2 linked regions of the Callithrix jacchus genome follow. The protein of the gene in region 1 purifies or fractionates together with the protein of each later gene. This does not show direct contact. Links are inferred from orthologs where the notes say so. Each region holds a gene or a part of one and is shown on either strand. Other genes may lie near its edges. The genes, in order: CPSF6 and SRPK2.

Region 1 (9,734 bases):
CTCTAGCTGGGCCTCCTAATCGAGGAGATCGCCCTCCACCACCAGTTCTTTTTCCTGGACAGCCTTTTGGGCAGCCTCCATTGGGTCCGCTTCCTCCTGGCCCTCCACCTCCAGTTCCAGGCTACGGCCCCCCTCCTGGCCCACCACCTCCACAACAGGGACCACCTCCACCTCCAGGCCCCTTTCCACCTCGTCCACCTGGTCCGCTTGGGCCACCCCTTACACTAGCTCCTCCTCCGCATCTTCCTGGACCACCTCCAGGTGCCCCACCGCCAGCTCCGCATGTGAACCCAGCTTTCTTTCCTCCACCAACTAACAGTGGCATGCCTACATCAGATAGCCGAGGTCCACCACCAACAGACCCATATGGCCGACCTCCACCATATGATAGGGGTGACTATGGCCCCCCTGGAAGGTAAGTTAGTGTGTGTCTGTAAAAGTACTTGATAAAAGATAAAGATAGGAATAATAACTGTGAAAATAAATATTAGATTATAGATGTATAAAAATGTTATTTCTGCCTTCCAAGAAGTTGAGGGATCTAAGCTGCTACTCTTATAGCTGAAAGATACTTGTATAGGAGAATTGTGTTTAGACATGTTCTCTTTATAGGAAATGTAGCATGCTTCAATCTGGAAAAGTAACCACTCTCTCTAAGGCACATGTCAGAAGCAGCTAGTGTGAATTGCTTTACACTGTTGTGACTGACTTAGAGTTTGAGTTAAGGTTTATGTTTTTACTTTACAGGGAAATGGATACTGCGAGAACGCCATTGAGTGAAGCTGAGTTTGAAGAAATCATGAATAGAAACAGGGCAATCTCAAGTAGTGCTATTTCGAGAGCTGTGTCTGATGCCAGTGCTGGTTTGTATATTTCTTGTATTAATGTTTCTTGTTTATGTTATTAGAAATGACCTAAAAATGTAAGTGCAGTCTAGAAGATAGGTCATTTACATGTAGTAGTTCTTTTTGTATTCCCAAATCATTAACTGTCATTTATTTAAAAAGCATTGAAAAAAAGCTGTGTCACAGTGTAGTGGGGAAAATCCAAATTTAAGTTATTTGGTATAGATTTAAGTCTTACCCTTGACATTAGATGGTTCAGGGGACTAGGACACCTATTCTTATATTTGCAAAATGATAACATGCTTCACACACCTGTAATAAGTTAATATGAGAATGAAAGGCTTTTGTAAATGGTGAAATACTAAAAGAAGACATTTATCTTGTATAGTTATTTTATAGCACACTACTTTTGTAAAATGCGTTACCACTCTTACCCCAAGTGGTTTGATGGTATTTTGAAAACAAAATTTGTTTAATTTCAAACTCTTTTTCTTTCCCCCACAGGTGATTATGGAAGTGCTATTGAGACATTGGTAACTGCAATTTCTTTAATTAAGCAATCCAAAGTATCTGCAGATGATCGTTGCAAAGTTCTTATTAGTTCTTTGCAAGATTGCCTTCATGGAATTGAGTCCAAGTCTTACGGTTCTGGATCAAGGTAAAACTTTCCTGTCTCATTTCTATTTAAAGAAAACTATTAGTTTACAAGTGGAAAAAATACTGTGTTTGAGATATTAGAAAGAGGACTTTGCTTTTACTTACTGATTATTTAGCAGCTGGAGTTTCTTTTGTTGTTGTTTGTAAACTCTAAATGTTAGTTGCTTGCTTAAAACCCTTCAAAGGCTTCTACTCAGTCTTAAAGCAAGATTGTAAAGATCGAGGCACTGTGTAATAAAGCCCCTGCCTATCTTTTTAGCCTCATTTTGTACCTTTTCCCTTACTCACTGTTCTCCAGCCATATTTCTCCTTTTTCTCTAGATAGATCAAACATTTGACCACCTTACTTTATATTCCTTCTGCTAGGAGCAGTTTTCCCTGTCTCTTCACATAGCTGGCTCCTTATTCTTCTCATCTCAATCTAACTTCTTAAGGGGGCTTCTCCCAAGTTAGTCTGTCTTATTGTTCTTTTTATTTCTTCCATAGTACTTACCATAACCAATTCTTAGGTGTTATAAAGGCATATTTCTCATTAGAACACATGTTGAGTGATGACAGGGGCTTTATGCTGCTCACCGTATTTCTTTTCTTTTAAGAGATGAGGTCTTGCTAAGTTACCAGCTTGGCCTCCCAAAGTGCTGGGATTATAGACATAAGCTACTGTGCTCAGCCATTCTCACTATATTATTTCTGTTGCCGACAGAGTGTCTGGTACAGAATGAGTGCCAAATAAAAATTTCTTGAATGAGGGACTGAATGAATGAATGATCTATCTTTTAGGTAGTGTTGGTTTTGTTTTTAGCATTGCTGCTAACTTTGAAATTTTATATATTTTTGAAAGGCAGTCCTTTAATCTTCACTTGGTATTCTTAGATGTGTTTTTAGTGTACTCTACCTAGTGGTAGTCTTCTTTAAGAGAAAGGAGCTTGCCTTTCACATGGTCCCTAATTTTGTGATTATTACCTTTTTGACCCAGTGTAAGAATCTTGGTATCTGAACAGATTTGTCATAGATACAGGTATTTGGTATCATCTTTTTAGGCTTTAAGGTCCAACGTAATAACTTTTGAATTCCATCACTTTCGGAGGCCAAAGCAAGAAGTTTACTAGAGCCCCAGGATTTTGAGACTAGCCTTGGCAACATGGGGAGACTTCATCTCTATAAAAAATTTTTTTAATTAGCTGGGCCTGGTGCTGCATGCCTATAGTCCTGCCTACTTGGGAGGCTGTGGTAGGCAGATTGCTTAAGCCCCAGAGGTCGAGGATGCAATGAACTGTAATCATGTCCCTGCACTCCAGTCTGGATGACAGAGACCCTCTCTTGAAAAAGAAGTAACAACTTACGCCTTGATCAAGGAGCTTAGCACTTAATGTTTGTTAAGCTTAGCTGTCTGGTGCAGAAATACAAGGCATAAATATTCTTGTTTAATAGATAGTTATTATTTCCTTACTATAAATTTAGCAGAATTTGTAGAGGTCTTTAAGGCAGTAAACTTTGGTTTAATTATTTGTTTTTAAAAAATGGCAGTTCATGAAATGTTTCTTTTTATTAAATACAGTGTGAATACTATATCGATTCATGCTACTAGTCATAATCGTTAGCCTTCTCCCATGCCTCTTCTCCCCTGAACATAATGTGTGTATTAGAAAGTTTCTTAGTGTTGGGTGCTGCTTCTCATGAACTATATTTTGGTTAGGTAGAAATGTAAGATTAGTATTTTAACATATGTTAAATAACATGTTAATAGGCTGTCATTTTCATGTATTTAAGTCCCATTGTGTGTTGTGATTTTATGAATTTTATATCTGAAAACATACTGTAGATGTTCTTTAGCTTAAAACACAAGTGCTTTGAACTTTTCCCTTTTCTGTTTGTTTATTCAGTAAATACTCCATGTCTATTTATGCTGCTAGTTTAAATTGATGATGTGATGCATTTCTGTGATGTGTCTGCTTACTGTTTTTTTTTTGGTAGTGTTTTTTAATAATGAAATTTCTGATTCGTGCTTACTGGTGAGTTGGTAAGTCATTATTGGCAGTTCCAGATAGTAAATTTAAACCAGATTTACAAAGAATCTTTTGCCACGTTAGATTTTTTTAGACACCAAAAAATTGACTATTTTTAAACTAATTATGGAGAGCATTAATCCAGTAATTTCTTTTAGAAGACGTGAACGATCAAGAGAGAGGGACCATAGTAGATCACGAGAAAAGAGTCGGCGCCATAAATCCCGTAGTAGAGACCGTCATGATGATTATTATAGAGAGAGAAGCAGAGAACGAGAGAGGCACAGGGATCGGGACCGAGACCGTGACCGAGAGCGTGACCGAGAGCGCGAGTATCGTCATCGTTAGAAGGTGGGTATTCCTTGTTCCTGTTATATTTAGCGTGTGTATTCTTAACAGTAACTATAACTCCAAGGCTACTATTTATACAGTATATACCTACATTTTAAATGGTCCAACTACTTGTGAATTTAATCTTGAAACATCTGAAACAAATAACAGGTAAGTAATGACAGGTAAAAATTTTGACCCTTTATCTTTAAGTATTTTATTGCTGAGTTAATCACTTTTAGGTTTCAAATAATTAATGGTCTTAACAAAGCAAGGAAATAATCAAGAGGACTCATTGCGTACTTCTAAAATCTAAAAATTGGGATTCTTGTAATCACATACTTAGTTTGTGTGTAATTTAAAATATAAAATACAGGGAGTTATTTCATATATATGTTTGGATTTTTAAAAATAAATGGAATGTGGCTATTCTTGAACTAGTTTTATTTGTCCCTAAAAATTTATGAGAAAATCTAACACAATCATAGTTTGTAATATAGGAGGGTGTTTTCTCAACATTCAAAGAGCCTTTTTCCTTAAAAAAAAAAAAAAAAAAATTTTTTTTTAGAAGAGACATTGTTTTCCTGACATCTGGTTTTTGTTTTTAAAAGAAACAGTATCCTTTAATTTGCAAAGAAGATATAAAAGTTATTCAGTTAAAATGGGTTCAGGGTGTACCATATCTAAAAAATTTAAATTGTGTTAAGCCATATACCCAAGTTTAGAATAACTTGAAATAATTTTCTTTGATGTTTCATTCATAAATCATAATCATTGTCTTTTTTTCTGTATTTTAAAACTATTTCTTGTGTACATTTTTCATAAGTGGGAAGAGTTGTCTGTTTATGCTTCATTTTCACATGTAATTTTATTTTTTATATTTGTTAACAGCATTTATTCATGTGAAGAGCTGGGGGAGGGCACTATAAGGCTTATGCATGTGACACAAAGGTTATTCTGTAAATTAAAATATTTTTTCTTTATATATTGGTTGGCATATTCAAATTAAATAAGGCTAAAACAAACCCCTCACATGTAGATTACTCTTTATGTGATTATTTTCAGTAATCATGGGAAACTTACTGAAAATTCAGTCATGGTAATTGTCAGTATTTAAAATGTTATGGGCAAAATTAAAGGCTTTATCAAGTGTATGTAATTCCATGACAGAATAGCAATTTCTTTAACCATAACAGATAACATTTTAGCAAATGAGACCCTTAAATGCCTAGAAAATAAGCATGCTGTTTTTGTGGAGCACAAATAAGCTCTTAAGTTTACAATTTTAAGGACTTTTTAAGTTAAAAGGCTGGTTTTGATACTTTTCTTTGCATTTTGAATATGCAGATCGAATATCAAAACTTTAATTTTTATATAGTTTTCCATGTATTGCAAAATACAAATCTCAAAACATTCTTTTAATGAGGCAAAAAAATTATACTTTTAAAATTAAGATTATTAAAATTGATATTGTTTTTGGATGTAAAAATTGACTATTGTATTATGTAAATCTAAACATTAAAATTTAAAGATGTAGCAATCTCTTCCCTTGAGTTAAATATATCTGATCCCATTTTAATGAAAAAAATTTCAATATCCATCAGTTGCTTAAGGTGGATTGTGACTGGGCTATTAGTTGAAATGCTTATCTATGTCAGCCATTTCCATTATAGAAAGATACAGATTCTATAAGTTACCTATTTTTTTAGACTTTGTAAGTTATCAACAAGCTTCTAGTTAGTAAAGGCATGATAATGAAACTTGAATTCATCTCCGAAATTGGATGTGTCCATCAGGGGTTCTCTAAGCCGATTTAAACCCAAAGTTAACTAATTACAGTTTTCTTACTGGTTTTAGTGAAACTAGCATAGTCAACAAGTAAATGTTCTGAAAAGTCTATTGTTAAAGTATTTGAGTTACCTAACATTACATTCTAGTAATGGGTACACCTAAGTAACATCATGGCTTGAGTTTCATTACATTCAGACATTAACTGCAGATTCCTAATGTGCAAACTATTGTTGACATTTTTCTTAATCACTGATGTACCATACCAGAATTTCCATGTTTTGTTTGTACATTAATCAGAATTGAGTTGTAATACTGTATGTGCCTTCATCCAAGCAAAATTTTACATAAGCATTTCTAGTGCAAAAAATTTTGTTATCCTGGATTATTGTACGTTTGCTGTATCAAACAGTATTTATTGTGGATGTAGACAAGAGTAAAGGGGTGGGGAATGGGATTAAATATATTCAAGTAAAACTCTTTTTAAAACAAAAGCTATCTGCAAATTTGATCACCAACATAATAAAGTCTGTTGACCTTTTTAGAAGTTTTAAAATATGAGTCCTTTTGAGCTTTCATGTAAATCTTAAATGGACTAAATGGAATGAGTGAGTTGAAAGCTAAAGTGAATGTCAGTAGTAAGGCTGTATACAAATAAAATACTAATGTAATCTATTAAAGTGATGATGAATGGATAAAAGGGCAAGTCCTTAATTAAACTGGAAACTTAATGATCTTGGCAAGCTGTTAATGTCTGTCCCATCTTAATTTTTTTTGTGTTTGAACTGTTGGTAACGTTAATTGCATTCTCTCATTTTAAAATGTATTGGTTTTTCTAAAAGTATTCAGTATCTAAGTTCAAATACATAATATTTCAATGAGAAAATACCAGTATTGTAAATTTTCAGTATGTAAATACATTGTGCTTCATATTCTGTAATTTCTGCCTCTATTCTCAGACCACTCTGAGCAAAATAAAAGTAGTTCAGTGCTTTAAGATAGTACGTTTCTTACTGAAATAATTCTAGTTTCATAGTTGAGCTGCTTAAAAGGTTGCATTCCTCTTGTTACTTCTTTGGAATATCCCTACTCAGCAAATTGGTTTTAACAATTTACCTTTTCTTTGTTTACTGAAACCAAATTATTTTTTTAAAATACTCTTTATTTAGGCTTTTCCTCTCCCTATTTTATGAGGTTTTACAATTCTCAAATCATTATCCATGACTTTGACACAATTTTTAAGCATTTGGTATGGGGTCTGGATTCAATAACTTGCCTTTGCTGTCTTACAACCTTTTTCCTACCTTAAATATCTTGACCATAAGATGTTAGATTTTGTTATTTCACGAGATTTAGGACGCTTTGCATTGTGTATTTAACTTACTGTGTTAATTTGAGAAAAAAAAAAGCCAAAAGAGTAAAGGAAAATTCTTTCTTACATGTTAAAGATGTTTCATTTTCTTGTTATTGTTGCTTTGAGTCTTATGTGAGAATTAAATTATCTTAATTACCTGGTGAATTATACTGGTTGTAATAAGATTTTAAAATTGTTTCTACAACTCTTAGGTTATGTGAGGTCTGCCTTATACCTCTCAGCCCTGTATTCTAACTGCTCTGCTTCATCTGGATATGCTAGCTTTCATTGCTTTAGCTCTGATTTTCCTTGCTTTGAGTATTTACAAAATCTGTCTCACTGCACAGCTGACTTAATTCATGTTACAAGAGGAAGTAGGACGTGATCCCTTGAATGGATGTATAGTGTGTTTTGCTCACTGTGGTTTAAGAATATAGTTTTGTTTTCAAATGATTAATGTTCCCTGTTTAAAAAAAAAAACCTCAATGCCAGTGTGAGTCACCTTGCTCTCTCACCTTCATCTCAGTGTTCAATTTACTACCATTGTTTTAGTTTGTAAAATAGATTGTTTTGAATAAATTCTGTCTTGGATGAATATTTAGTTAACGCTGTTTAGAGAAACCTAATAACCAGAAAGGGGTAAGGGTGCCATTTATGCTATCCAAATTTATGAATTTTTCTTTTGTGGTAGCATGTTTTAACTTTTCATGAATTATAAATAACAGGTTATTTTGAGATGTTCATTTTGTAAATCTTTTTTTTCTTTGACTGTGATTATGTTTATTTCTATTTTAGTGGGTTGTAAGAGCAACAATTATTTATGTGTTGATAGAGTAATAAAATGCTTTAGTTAAAATGAGGTAAGTACTATGTTCAGAGGTAGAAAGATGAAAATATGAAATATTTTGGTAGCAAGGAACTTCTTGTAAATATCTACAACAACTAGAATTGTTTTTATGTAATATGTTCTAGTCAATGCAAGAAGGAATTTTGATTTTAGAGCTATCTTGTATGTAGATAATTGTTTCTCTTGCCCACCTCATTTCCATTCCTCTCATTAAGGAAGGAATTACCAGATAGAGAAAAGTGAATTTTATTTCATTGAGTTAATAGTGCATCTCTAAAATTATATGAGAATCCTTTTAATTCAATATATTAATGTGAAAACCTATAAAAGTGCCCTATCAAGTATATATTTGAATCTTAAAGGATGCATTTACACATGAATTAAAAATACTAATTCTAACAAATGTGTGTAGATAAGTTTCTAACAGAAACAATTATAATTTGAGTTAATAATGGCTTGATATATTATCTTAAAATTCAGGTACTTCTCTGTGTTTTGAGATTTTACTTAGTGCTCACTTTAGTTTACAGACTATTTTAAAAACTGTACATTCCATTTATCTTCTTAGTTATTTTATTAACTGTTTACATAGGTCTTTTATAATTGATAGCTAAAGCAAGTAATTGTGTGGCTTTGACATTACTGATTTTACCAAATGATACATTGAAAACATGGTCATTGAATGTATTTGTCACTTTGAAGCTTCTTTTTGATATCTTTGTTGGTGTAGTTGTCTGCTTAGACATTTGAGAGAGTATAATGTGGAATTGGATTATTGGAAATGGGTTGTATTGCCTTCAAATTCACTTCCGTTTAAAACTGTAAAATCTGTATTTTCAAGTGCATAAATGTAAAGTGTTTAGAAATAGAAATAAAAACTGCTAGACTATCCCCCATATTTTATGTATGTATGATAAAAATTAGACTTACTAGTAGTAAAGATTCATCTATAAAGTATAATTAGACAAAAGATGAGTTCATTAGTCCTGGAAAAATATCTGTGTTGCAACAGGATTCTCTATCTAAAAACAGTATAACGGGGCACGGTGGCTCATGCCTGTAATCCCAGCACTTTGGGAGGCCAAGATGGGCAGATCACCTGAGGTCAGAAGTTCAAGACGACTCTGGCCAATATGGTGAAACCCTGTCTCTACAGGGTTTCAAAATGCAAAAAATTAGCTGGATGTGGTGGTGCATGCCTGTAGTCCCCACTACTTGGGAGGCTGAGGCAGAGGAATCACTTGAACTGAAGAGTCAGAGTTTGCAGTGAGCTGAGATCATGCCACTGCACTCCAGCCTGGTGACAGAGCAACACTCTGTCTCCAAAAAAAAGTATAATTTTCCACTGGAGAGATAATGATATGAAGATGCATTGTATGTGATCTGTTTTATGGAAGAGTTGAATGTTTTTGTTTTGCTCACTATGACTTTAAATAGTTTTTTCCCTTTTAATGACCTGATCTCTCTTTTTCATCCCTTCCAGTGCAATAGAAAATTTAGGGAGATAGCATTCTTTTGCAGTTAGACTTATTAATTTCCCAGTAATTATTATTTCAGATTAGAATGTATGCCTTGTTTCTCTTTAATACATAAACCAGTTTTTTAAAAGTGCATTACAGACAATAAAACATTTGAAAGCTGCCATTTTAGATTTTTTTCTATTAGATACTTTCGCTAAATAGCATCAACATAAGATGAAGATGCAATGAAAGATAACATTAGCAATGGCTGAAGTTACCTGAAAAATAACAGGCATATAGAAATTACATATATAAAAGAAAAAGTCCCAATTGTAACATCTATTTTTTTTCTTTTGCAATTTTTAAATGTTAAGTTACTACTGCTAGGTAATGTGAATGCATATATGTACTCGTGCTCTTAAGATACTTACAACCTAGTTGAGGAGG
Region 2 (9,734 bases), on another chromosome or scaffold:
GGAACTGGACTCAGGGCTTCTAACTCTCCGCCCTAGACTTGGCCTTTTTTTCTGCACTGCTGCTGAACTCAAAGTCTGACTTTACCCAGAGAAACCTGGCACCTGTTCCTCATGTGTGTGAACTGGCTTCCTAAGTTGGATGATGGAGAGTCATGTTCCTGGCCCATCTGGGCTTAGGTTGATATCAGCTTTCCTGGCAGCCAAAGGATCTCTGCTGCCTCCTGCTGCTGGCACCAAGTATTAAGATTGTTTTTTGTTTGTTTTTTTGCTTGTTTTGAGACAGAGTCTTGCCTGTTGCCAGGCTGGAGTGCAGTGGTGCAATCTCAGCTCACTTCAGCCTCTCCTGGGTTCAAGCAATTCTCGTGCTTCAGACTTCCAAGTAGCTGGGATTACAGGCATGTGTCACCACACCCAGCTAATTTTTGGATTTTTAGTAGATGGGTTTCACCATGTTGGCCAGGATGGTCTGGATTTCCTGACCTCGTGATCTGCCCACCTTGGCCTCCCCAAGTGCTGGGATTACAAGGCAAGGCTGAGCCTAGCCTTGACATTTTAAATGTAATTTAAACATCCTAATTGAAGTATTATCCAAAACAGTAAATATTCTAGGGCAAAAAAATCAAAAGTCTTAAAAAATAGCTTATCCTAGTTTTATCTATTTTACTAGTACTTACTAGGAACTTGTCAGTATCTCATTAAATCATATTTGCCATGCCCATGATTCATCTTGGTTTCTTTTTGGCCATTTCCCCCACCCCTCATACCCATTTCCTGTCCTGAATTGGTAAGCTCTGTGAGGATGTGAGGACTGTAAGCAACATGAAGCTTGGGAGCTTTTAAATATCAAAGACATGGAATAGTGGCATGTGATAGGAGCTCAGCTGATGCACATTCATTGAATTTATGTAAAAATACTCTGTTTGGTAAAGTGTTTTAAATGTTTGTAGGGATTTTGATCCTGTTTAAAAGACAGATATTCCTATCTTCATTTTCCTTTTAAAATGTTTGTTCCCTCTCACTTCGTAATGCTACTTTAAACTTGTACTAACAGTAGGCTACCTACTAATAGCCTACCGTTAATCAGATGCCTTCCTGGTAACATAAAGAGTTGATTAAACTGGGAATAGTTCAGTGTTGGATGATGTGAAGCATACCACACTTTCTGTCTCTTGTGAACAAAATGAGTATTTGATTCATTGTTTGAATGGTGGTTGATATAATATTTGCTTAACATTTGGAATTTCTAATGCTTATATGAGAACATGATATGTATTGTAAAAATAAATTTCATTTGTGGAAAAATTAGAACATTCTTCTCCAGTGGAAATAATTACAGTAAAACATGGACTGTGTATTTAGGTCACTGACACTCTTAATGTGACAAATATGAATATCTTGGTTCATCATTGTCTTTTAGTATAATGCTATAGTGTTGTCTAGATACCAAAGCCTTTTCTTTCTATTTAAATTAAGCCCCCCTTTTTTTGCAATTTTAAAAATGTATGGACATCATTAGCCTTGGGGGAAATAAAGATCAAAACTACAAGATACTCCATATCCACTTGGGTAGCTAAAGTAAAAAAGATATGGTGTTGTGTTTTTTTTTTAAGATGTGGTTTCACCATGTTGGTCAGGCTGGTTTTGATCTCCCTCCCTCAGGTGATCTGCCCGCCTTGGCCTCCAAAGTGCTTGGATTACAGGCGTGAGCCACCACACCCAGCCGATGGTGTTGTTTAGGATGATGAATTGGAACCCTCATACATTGCTGATAGGAATGTGAAATGGTGTAGCTACTGTGGAAAACACTTCGGCAGGTGATCAAAAAGCTAAATATAGAGGTGCCATATGACCTAAGTATGGTAACTCCTAGGTGTATATGCCTCCCCCCAAAAAAAGTATGTTTGCTGGGCACAGTGGCTCACGCCTGTAATCTCAGCACTTTGGGAGGCCGAGGAAGGCGGATCATGAGGTCAAGAGATCGAGACCATCCTGGCCATGGTGATACCCGTCTCTACTAAAAATACAAAAATTAGCTGGGCGTGGTGGCACATACCTGTAGTCCCAGCTACTCGCGAGGCTGAGGCAGGAGAATTGCTTGAACCTGGGAGACGGAGGTTGCAGTGAGCAGAGATCGCACCACTGCACTCCAGCCTGGCGATGGAGATTGTGTCTCCAAAAAAAAAGTATGTTCACACAAAAATGTATATACATGAGTGTGCATTGCATTATTAGTTTTATAGCCCCTAAAGTGAAAATAACGTGAATGTTTATGAAGTAAATGGATAAACAAATGTTATGTCTCCATACAGTGGAATATGATTTGGCAGTAAAACCAGGCGAAGTACTGATGCATGCTGCACAAGAGTCAGGCTTGAAAACATTATGCCAGTTACAAAAAAACACTTTATATGATTCCATTTATAGGAAATGTCTAGAATCACCAAGTAGATTAGTGGTTGCTAAGGGTTAGAGGAGGTACGAGAGAGATGGGGAGTGAATGCTAATGAATATGTTGTTTCTTTTAGGAGCAATGAAAATGATGTCATTTAAATAGTGGTGATAGTTGCACATTTGAAATCTGTTAAATTGTATACCTAAAGGGGTTATATGACACATGAGTATAGTTGTTACTGAACAAAAATACACAGCTGAGGCTTGAATAGCACAAGGGTTAGAGGCACTGACCAGCCCCTTCCAATGAAGTTGAAAATCCATGTCTGACTTTTGACTTGACCAAAGCTTAACTACTAATATTCTGCTGTTGATCAGAAGCCTTTCCTGATGACATTAACAGTTGTTTAACATGTATTTTGTATGTGTGTTATATAGCATATTGTTACAATAGAGTAAGCTAGAGAAAAGAAAAGAAAGTATGTTTACCATTTATTCATTAAGTGGAAGTCGATCATCATAAAGGTCTTCATCCTCATCATCCTCATGTTGAGTAGGCTGAGGGGTTGGTCTTGCTGTCTCAGGAGTGCAGAGGTGGAAGAACATCTGTGTATAAGTGGACCCATGCAGTTCAAACCTTCAAGGTTCAACTGTATATAGATGCATTTGCTTCCACAAGCATAATCTCTGAAATGATATACACTGGTTTCTTATGGGAAGGAGAGCTGGATTCCAATGAGGTTAGGAATGGGAGGGAGATTTTTACTAAATATCCTTTTGTGTTTATCAAACTTGGTAGCCTGTCATTGTATTTTATGCTTTTCAAATAAATAAAACTTATATAAAGAGGTATTAATAGCTTATCTTCTCTCTTAATTTTACTATGTCCAGGTCCTTCAAGGATTAGATTATCTGCACAGTAAGTGCAAAATCATTCATACTGACATAAAGCCAGAAAACATCTTGATGTGTGTGGATGATGCATATGTGAGAAGAATGGCAGCTGAGGCCACTGAGTGGCAGAAAGCAGGTGCTCCTCCTCCTTCAGGGTCTGCAGGTGAGGGACTGAGCCAGCTTCATTTCAGTCTGTCTGAGGTATTGTAAGCTTGCAATGTTGTATGTTGAAGGTTTCTCAATCAAATGTTACATGTAAGGACATTTTTGGCAAAGTTTAATTTCTGGAAATAACTACACCCTTTTCTTGAGATGGAAAATGCCCCAGGTACATTATATTTTAATATTTGAATTACTTGCCATTTAAATTTGTAGTTGCTGCTTCATTAATATTGGAACAGTTTTTTCTGTTGCCCACTTCTCTGCAGAGGAGAACATAATAACAGCTTTCCTGGAGCTGACTTTTAGTCATCAGAATATTTTTCTAGCTTCAGTTATGTTACAGTAATTCCTATTGTCCATTTGTCATAGCTACGTCAATCTGAGTTTTATCAGTGGATTTGGAGTTAGTTAGAAAAGGCCTGATGGTGGGGGAAGAAGACCAAGTGACCTGAGTATTGGCATATCTTTATTTCTGGTGGGGGTGCAGTGAAATGTGGACTGTGCTTTTGTGGATCTTCAACATTGTCTGTGCCCTTGTGTTGTCAGGCAAGCATAGATAGTAAAGGGCTGAGACTCTGGAGACTGCCTGGGGCTCTCTTCACATCTCCTCTACTGCAGGTGTTGTTTAGATCATGGACCCAGACTGTCAAACTTATGGCCCTGATAGGGTTTAATCATGTGATTTCTAGAATATTAGCTGCATACCAACTGCAGTATTTGATTTAAATTGTAGAAAGCTTGCAAAATAGATTTCAAATATAAATGTACATCTAATCTAAATTGTTTATTTCATTTTATTTATAACAAATTTGGTTTAATGACTGTGATATGTATGAATTATTTTCCATTTTCTTAAGCTATCTGTTGGTGCTTTGGGATTGACTGTTTTTGAGATGTATTAGTATTTCATTTTAGATAAATAAAAGAAATGGCTCAGTATGAACAACTTTTCTGCTATGCATTTTAAGAGTCCGTTGTTTGTTTCAGTTGCATAAACTTTCTCTAGATCCCAGTGATTACGAAGCTCTGATTAATATGTTTGTGAAGTTGGATAGTCATTAAAAGATAATAATTATGTCATTTTGCAATCCAAATGACCTGCATGAAGGTATGTGTCTGTTTTCTGCTAAATACCAATTTTGTTTCATTTTATTTTAGTGAGTACGGCTCCACAGCAGAAACCTGTAAGTACTTAACGCATATTACTTTTATGCACCATGGCAAAAGAAACTGTTTGAGCAGTTCAAATTATTAAAAAGTGGTAGTATATATTAATTTAAAGGGTAGACACATTTATAAATGCTGTGTATCCTCAAATATTTAAGACTTACTGTCTTGTTAAGTGTTTTTTGGATTTTGTGTGTGTATGTGACTGAGTCTTGCATTACTGCTCAGGCTGGCATGCAGTGTTGCGATCTTGGCTCACTGCAGCCTCCCCCTCCCAGGTTCAAACGATTCTCCTGCCTCAGCCTTCCGAGTAGCTGGGATTACAGGCACCCACCACCATGCTCAGCTAATTTTTGTACTTTTAGTAGAGATGGAGTTTCACCATGTTGGTCAGGCTGGTCTCGAATTCCTGACCTCAAGTGATCTTCCCATCTTGGCTTCTCAAAGTTCTGAGATTACATGCATGAGCCATCACACCTGGCCTGTCTCGTTAAGTTTTAGGGATCTCTGCAGAATTGGAATGGTTAGAGCCTTTCAATGATTGTCTTCTTTATGCATTTTCTGGACTACGGTTGGCCAAGTCTAATGAAATGTGAGGTGGTGGAGTTGAAGCACTTTTATTTCAAAACCACTTTATATTATTTCTGATTGGCTGCTAAGTTACCTTTTCCGAAGCTGTTGTTCTAATTTTTTTCCAGCCAGATGTTAAATAAGAAAGAGATAGTTTGTAGTCCTGTCAAAACACTATGTCAGTACTAGGTACCAGGTGTGGTGGCTGACACCTGTAATTCCAACATTTTGGGAGGCTGAGGCCAGCAGATCTCTTGAGGTCAGGACTTCGAGACCACCCTGGCTAACATGGTGAAACCCTGTCTCTACCAAAAAATGCAAAAACTAGCCGAGTGTGCTGGCGGATGCCTGTAATCTCAGCTACTCAGGAGGGTGAGGCAGGAGAATCTGTTGAGCCCAGGAGGGGGAGGTTGCAATGAGCTGAGATTAGGCCATTGGACTCCATCCTGGGTGACTGAGTGAGACTCTGTCTCAAAAAAAAAAATCAGCCGGGCATGATGGCATGTACCTGTACTCCCAGCTACATGGGAGGCTGAGGCATGAGAAACACTTGAACCCAGGAAATGGAGGTAGCAGTGAGCCAAAGTCACGCCAGTGCACTCCAGCCTATGCAACCGAACAAGACCCCATCTCAAAGAAAAAGAAAACAACAACAAAAAACAAAATAACAAGAAAACACTATGTTTACTGAGACAACCCTTGATTTGGAACGTAAGTTCTGGAACAAGAGGGAGCTGTAATAATTAGGCTTCCTGGCTTGCTGAGGAGCCCAAGTTGTTTCCCATAGTTCTTCCCTGGCTCAAGCCACCTGAGTTTACTGTATGAAGGATTGGAGGCTCTCCTTGCCAGTGCTTTGCAAGTCAGCTGGCCATGATGGGAGGCAAACAAAAGCTGTGGCTTTTTCTTCTTTCACATTGCTGCTTAGGCTTATCTCTTACAGTTCATGTTGTCTTGGCTGGTAAGAGCTTCCAAGACATATGTGAGACCCAAACACAGTGACATACACCTGCTTGGGCACCTGTTTCATTTTTGGTAGTGAGGAGATGGGATGTTGTTATTTTGTATATAGAGGGCAGCAAATAAAACTTCCAAGAGGAGCTTCTCTAAGGCCAAGAGAATTTTGGACTTCAGTTCTCTGAGAGTTTGAATGGTGAAGGCTTACTGGATTTAAGCTGTATCCCTCTGAGGGCAGGACCTGGTAGTAGACCTAGCATGTGATATCAGTCAGCACTGCTTTCCCTTTGATTTTACCATAAGCCTTACCATGAGGTGGATGTCTGGGTTTGGGATTTTAGTAGAATATGGCATGAGAAAGCGGAGTTTTTTGTTAGTTGCCATGCTGCCAGCAGTTATACTATCATGTGTGCTTTAAAAAGAAGAAAACTGACCTGTGGTCTTTTCTTAACATGTTATAGATAGGAAAAATATCTAAAAACAAAAAGAAAAAACTGAAAAAGAAACAGAAGAGGCAGGCTGAGTTATTGGAAAAACGCCTGCAGGAGATAGAAGAATTGGAGCGAGAAGCTGAAAGGAAAATAATAGAAGAAAACATCACTTCAGCTGCACCTTCCAATGAGCAGGATAGTGAATATGGCCCAGAGGTGAAACTAAAAACAACAGGATTAGAGGAGGCAGCCGAGGCAGAGACCACAAAGGACAACGGTTAGTGGGGCCAAGAGCCTGGGCTGCATGGGGTCCTCAGGTTACAATGGGGGCTGATTTGTGCTGCTGCTTCAGATGGCAAGGATGATTCTCTCCAAGTCTCTATTGGGAAATTCGGGAAACATCCTTATAATTCATTTGTGAACTGTATGCCAGAAATACAACATTTCAAAATAGTTTTTAAAAATGTAGAATGTCTGAGAAACACCATGTTTCTATCATGCTAAAGATGGTGCTTTATTTTGTCATTAACTTTTTACCTAACTGTAGTACACCACAAATCTATTTCTGAAGATTGTAGAGGGTGGAAATGGAAGTGCAGCTTTATTTAGAAAGAGTTTTTTTCTCCCAAAGCTAACTTTTTCTTATAAGAGCAGGCCAATTATTAATGAACCAAAAATGAGATTTTGAAAACTTGAAGGTTTTACTCCAAAAGCTGAGAGGTGTTTACTATGAGGTGCATAAGTTAAGCACATTCAAAATGTATTTTATTGATGAGATGTGAGGTTGTATTAAGGAGAGTAACAAGTTCTAATTCTTGACCCATCAACTTCTTAAGGTGAAGCCGAGGACCAGGAAGAGAAAGAAGACACTGAGAAAGAAAACATTGAAAAAGATGATGATGATGTAGATCAGGAACTTGCAAACATAGACCCTACGTGGATAGAATCACCTAAAACCAATGGCCATATTGAGAATGGCCCGTTCTTATTGGAGCAGCAACTGGACGATGAAGAGGATGATGAAGAAGATTGCCCAAATCCTGAGGAATATAATCTTGATGAGCCAAATGCAGAAAGTGATTACACATATAGCAGCTCCTATGAACAATTCAATGGTGAATTGCCAAATGGACGGCATAAAATTCCCGAGTCACAGTTTCCAGAGTTTTCCACCTCATTGTTCTCTGGATCCTTAGAACCTGTGGCCTGCGGTTCTGTGCTTTCTGAGGGATCACCACTTACTGAGCAAGAGGAAAGCAGTCCTTCCCATGACAGAAGCAGGACGGTTTCAGCCTCCAGTACTGGGGATTTGCCAAAAGGTAAGTGTTCTTCTCATCAGCTGTCTGCCATCACTGACTCCCGGGGTGTGCCTTTAACAAATGCTATGAAGGAATTGGCTGAAAGTGACCAACCCCTATATGCTTGCACTAATCATTTTTATTACTTTTATACTCAGGAACAAGTAATGTGATTTAAATGTACATTCTGTGCCACTAGGCTATCTCTCGCTCTCTGATACCAAATCTTATTTCTGACCAGTTGTCATTTTTAATATATTCAGTCAGCAGCATCATTTGCAGAAACCTTCCAGTTTTAGCAACTTACACCTGTAGCTTTCTAGAATGTGTAGTATAATTTGTATCTTGCATCTGTTATGATTGTATTTCGTTTTTGTTTTGTTTTTCTATTCAAGAAAAGTATGCCTGCTCTTTGGCTCTGTTGGGAAAGAAGTGTCATATTGTCTTTTCATAGTTGTTCCTGATTATAGGACCCTGTTATTGATAACCCACCCAGGATTGTGAATTTCAAGGAATTGGCATGGATTTAAATGTGATGACAGATGATAGATTGGCTCTTGTGTTCTTGTCTACCTAAGAAGCCTTGACTTATTTAGACCCTTATTTTGGGAGTGAATGCCAAGTGACTCTGGTGTGTGAAAACTGGGTAACTCAGTTGGTTTCCATTCTGGCTCAAGGTGGGAAAGCTCTGAAACCTCCTGGGCTCCCTCTACTGTCAAGACTGTTTAACACACAGTGAGTAATTGATGAGCCACCCCTGCCAACAGTCCAAGACATTCTGCAGCCCCTTGGTTCCAGCAGGCTGGAATTGCACGATAAGGAGTGAGCTGGCTTTGTTAAGAACTGGCTATGATGAATCCTCCTAAGGATGTGTTTTCTTCACTTGGCTGGACGTGGTCAGCTCCTATTCCCCTTTATAGGGAGTGTTTGAAGGTGCTTACATAGAGTGTAGGTTAATTTCTGAGAAAGGGCAGTAGTGAGATGTACCTTATCCAGATTTATTGTTGCTGTTGCAGTTAAATTTTTCTCTTAGTGAAAGTTTTTATTTTTTTGAGATAGAGTCTTGGTCTGTCGCCCAGGCTGGAGTGCAGTGGTGGGATCTCGGCTCACTGCAACCTCTGTCTCCACGGTTCAAGCGATTTTCCTGTCTCATCCTCCTGAGTAGCTGGGACTAAAGGCATGTGCCACCACATCTGGCCAATTTTTGCATTTTTAGTGGAGACAGGGTTTCACCATGTTGGCCAGGCAGGTCTCGAACTCCTGACCTCACGATCTGCCTATCTCAACCTCCCAAAATGCTAGGATTACAGCTGTGAGCCACAAGTTTCATATAGAAAGTAATTTACAAACTTCCTTTCCTCCCTCCCTCCCTTCCTTCTCCTTCTTTCCTTCCTTTGTTTTCTTTCATCCTGTCCTGTCCTTTTCCTTACCCTTTCCTCTTCCTCTTCCTCTTCCCCTTCCTTCCTTCCTTTTTCCTTTTCCCTTTCCTTTTCCTTTTCTTCTTTTCTTTCTCTCTGTGCCCCTCCTTCCCTCCTTCCTTCCTTTCCTTTCTTCCCTCCCTCCCTCCCTCTCTCCTTCTTTCTCCTTTCATTTTCCTTTTCCCCTCCCCTCCCTTTTTTCTTTCCTTTTTCTTTCTCTCTCTCCCTTCCCTCCCTCCCCTATCCTCTCCCCTCACCTCCCTGTCTCCTTCCTTCCTTCCCTCCCTCCTTTCCTTCTTCCTTCCTTTTCTCCCTCCCTTCCCCACCCCCAACCCCCCACCCCCCACTCTGATGCCCAAGCTGGAGTACAGTGATGCAATCTCGGCTCACTGCAACCTCCACCTCCTGGACTTAAGCAATTCTTCTGCCTCAGTTTCCTGAGTAGCTGG

Evidence for each region.
Region 2: the proteins of CPSF6 (region 1) and SRPK2 purify together in Homo sapiens (affinity purification with mass spectrometry; 3 studies listed by BioGRID and IntAct, with this or other methods). This does not show direct contact. The link is inferred for Callithrix jacchus from reciprocal best matches to the Homo sapiens genes CPSF6 and SRPK2.

The regions. Positions count from the first base shown.
Region 1 is NC_133510.1:71,755,888-71,765,621, forward strand, and holds part of CPSF6 (cleavage and polyadenylation specificity factor subunit 6), read left to right. Parts: coding exon 1-415; intron 416-747; coding exon 748-863; intron 864-1,349; coding exon 1,350-1,503; intron 1,504-3,666; coding exon 3,667-3,856; 3' UTR 3,857-3,859; intron 3,860-9,734. UniProt on the Homo sapiens protein: Component of the cleavage factor Im (CFIm) complex that functions as an activator of the pre-mRNA 3'-end cleavage and polyadenylation processing required for the maturation of pre-mRNA into functional mRNAs.
Region 2 is NC_133512.1:75,523,248-75,532,981, reverse strand, and holds part of SRPK2 (SRSF protein kinase 2), read left to right. Parts: intron 1-3,282; coding exon 3,283-3,448; intron 3,449-4,605; coding exon 4,606-4,631; intron 4,632-6,599; coding exon 6,600-6,846; intron 6,847-7,405; coding exon 7,406-7,888; intron 7,889-9,734. UniProt on the Homo sapiens protein: Serine/arginine-rich protein-specific kinase which specifically phosphorylates its substrates at serine residues located in regions rich in arginine/serine dipeptides, known as RS domains and is involved in the phosphorylation of SR splicing factors and the regulation of splicing.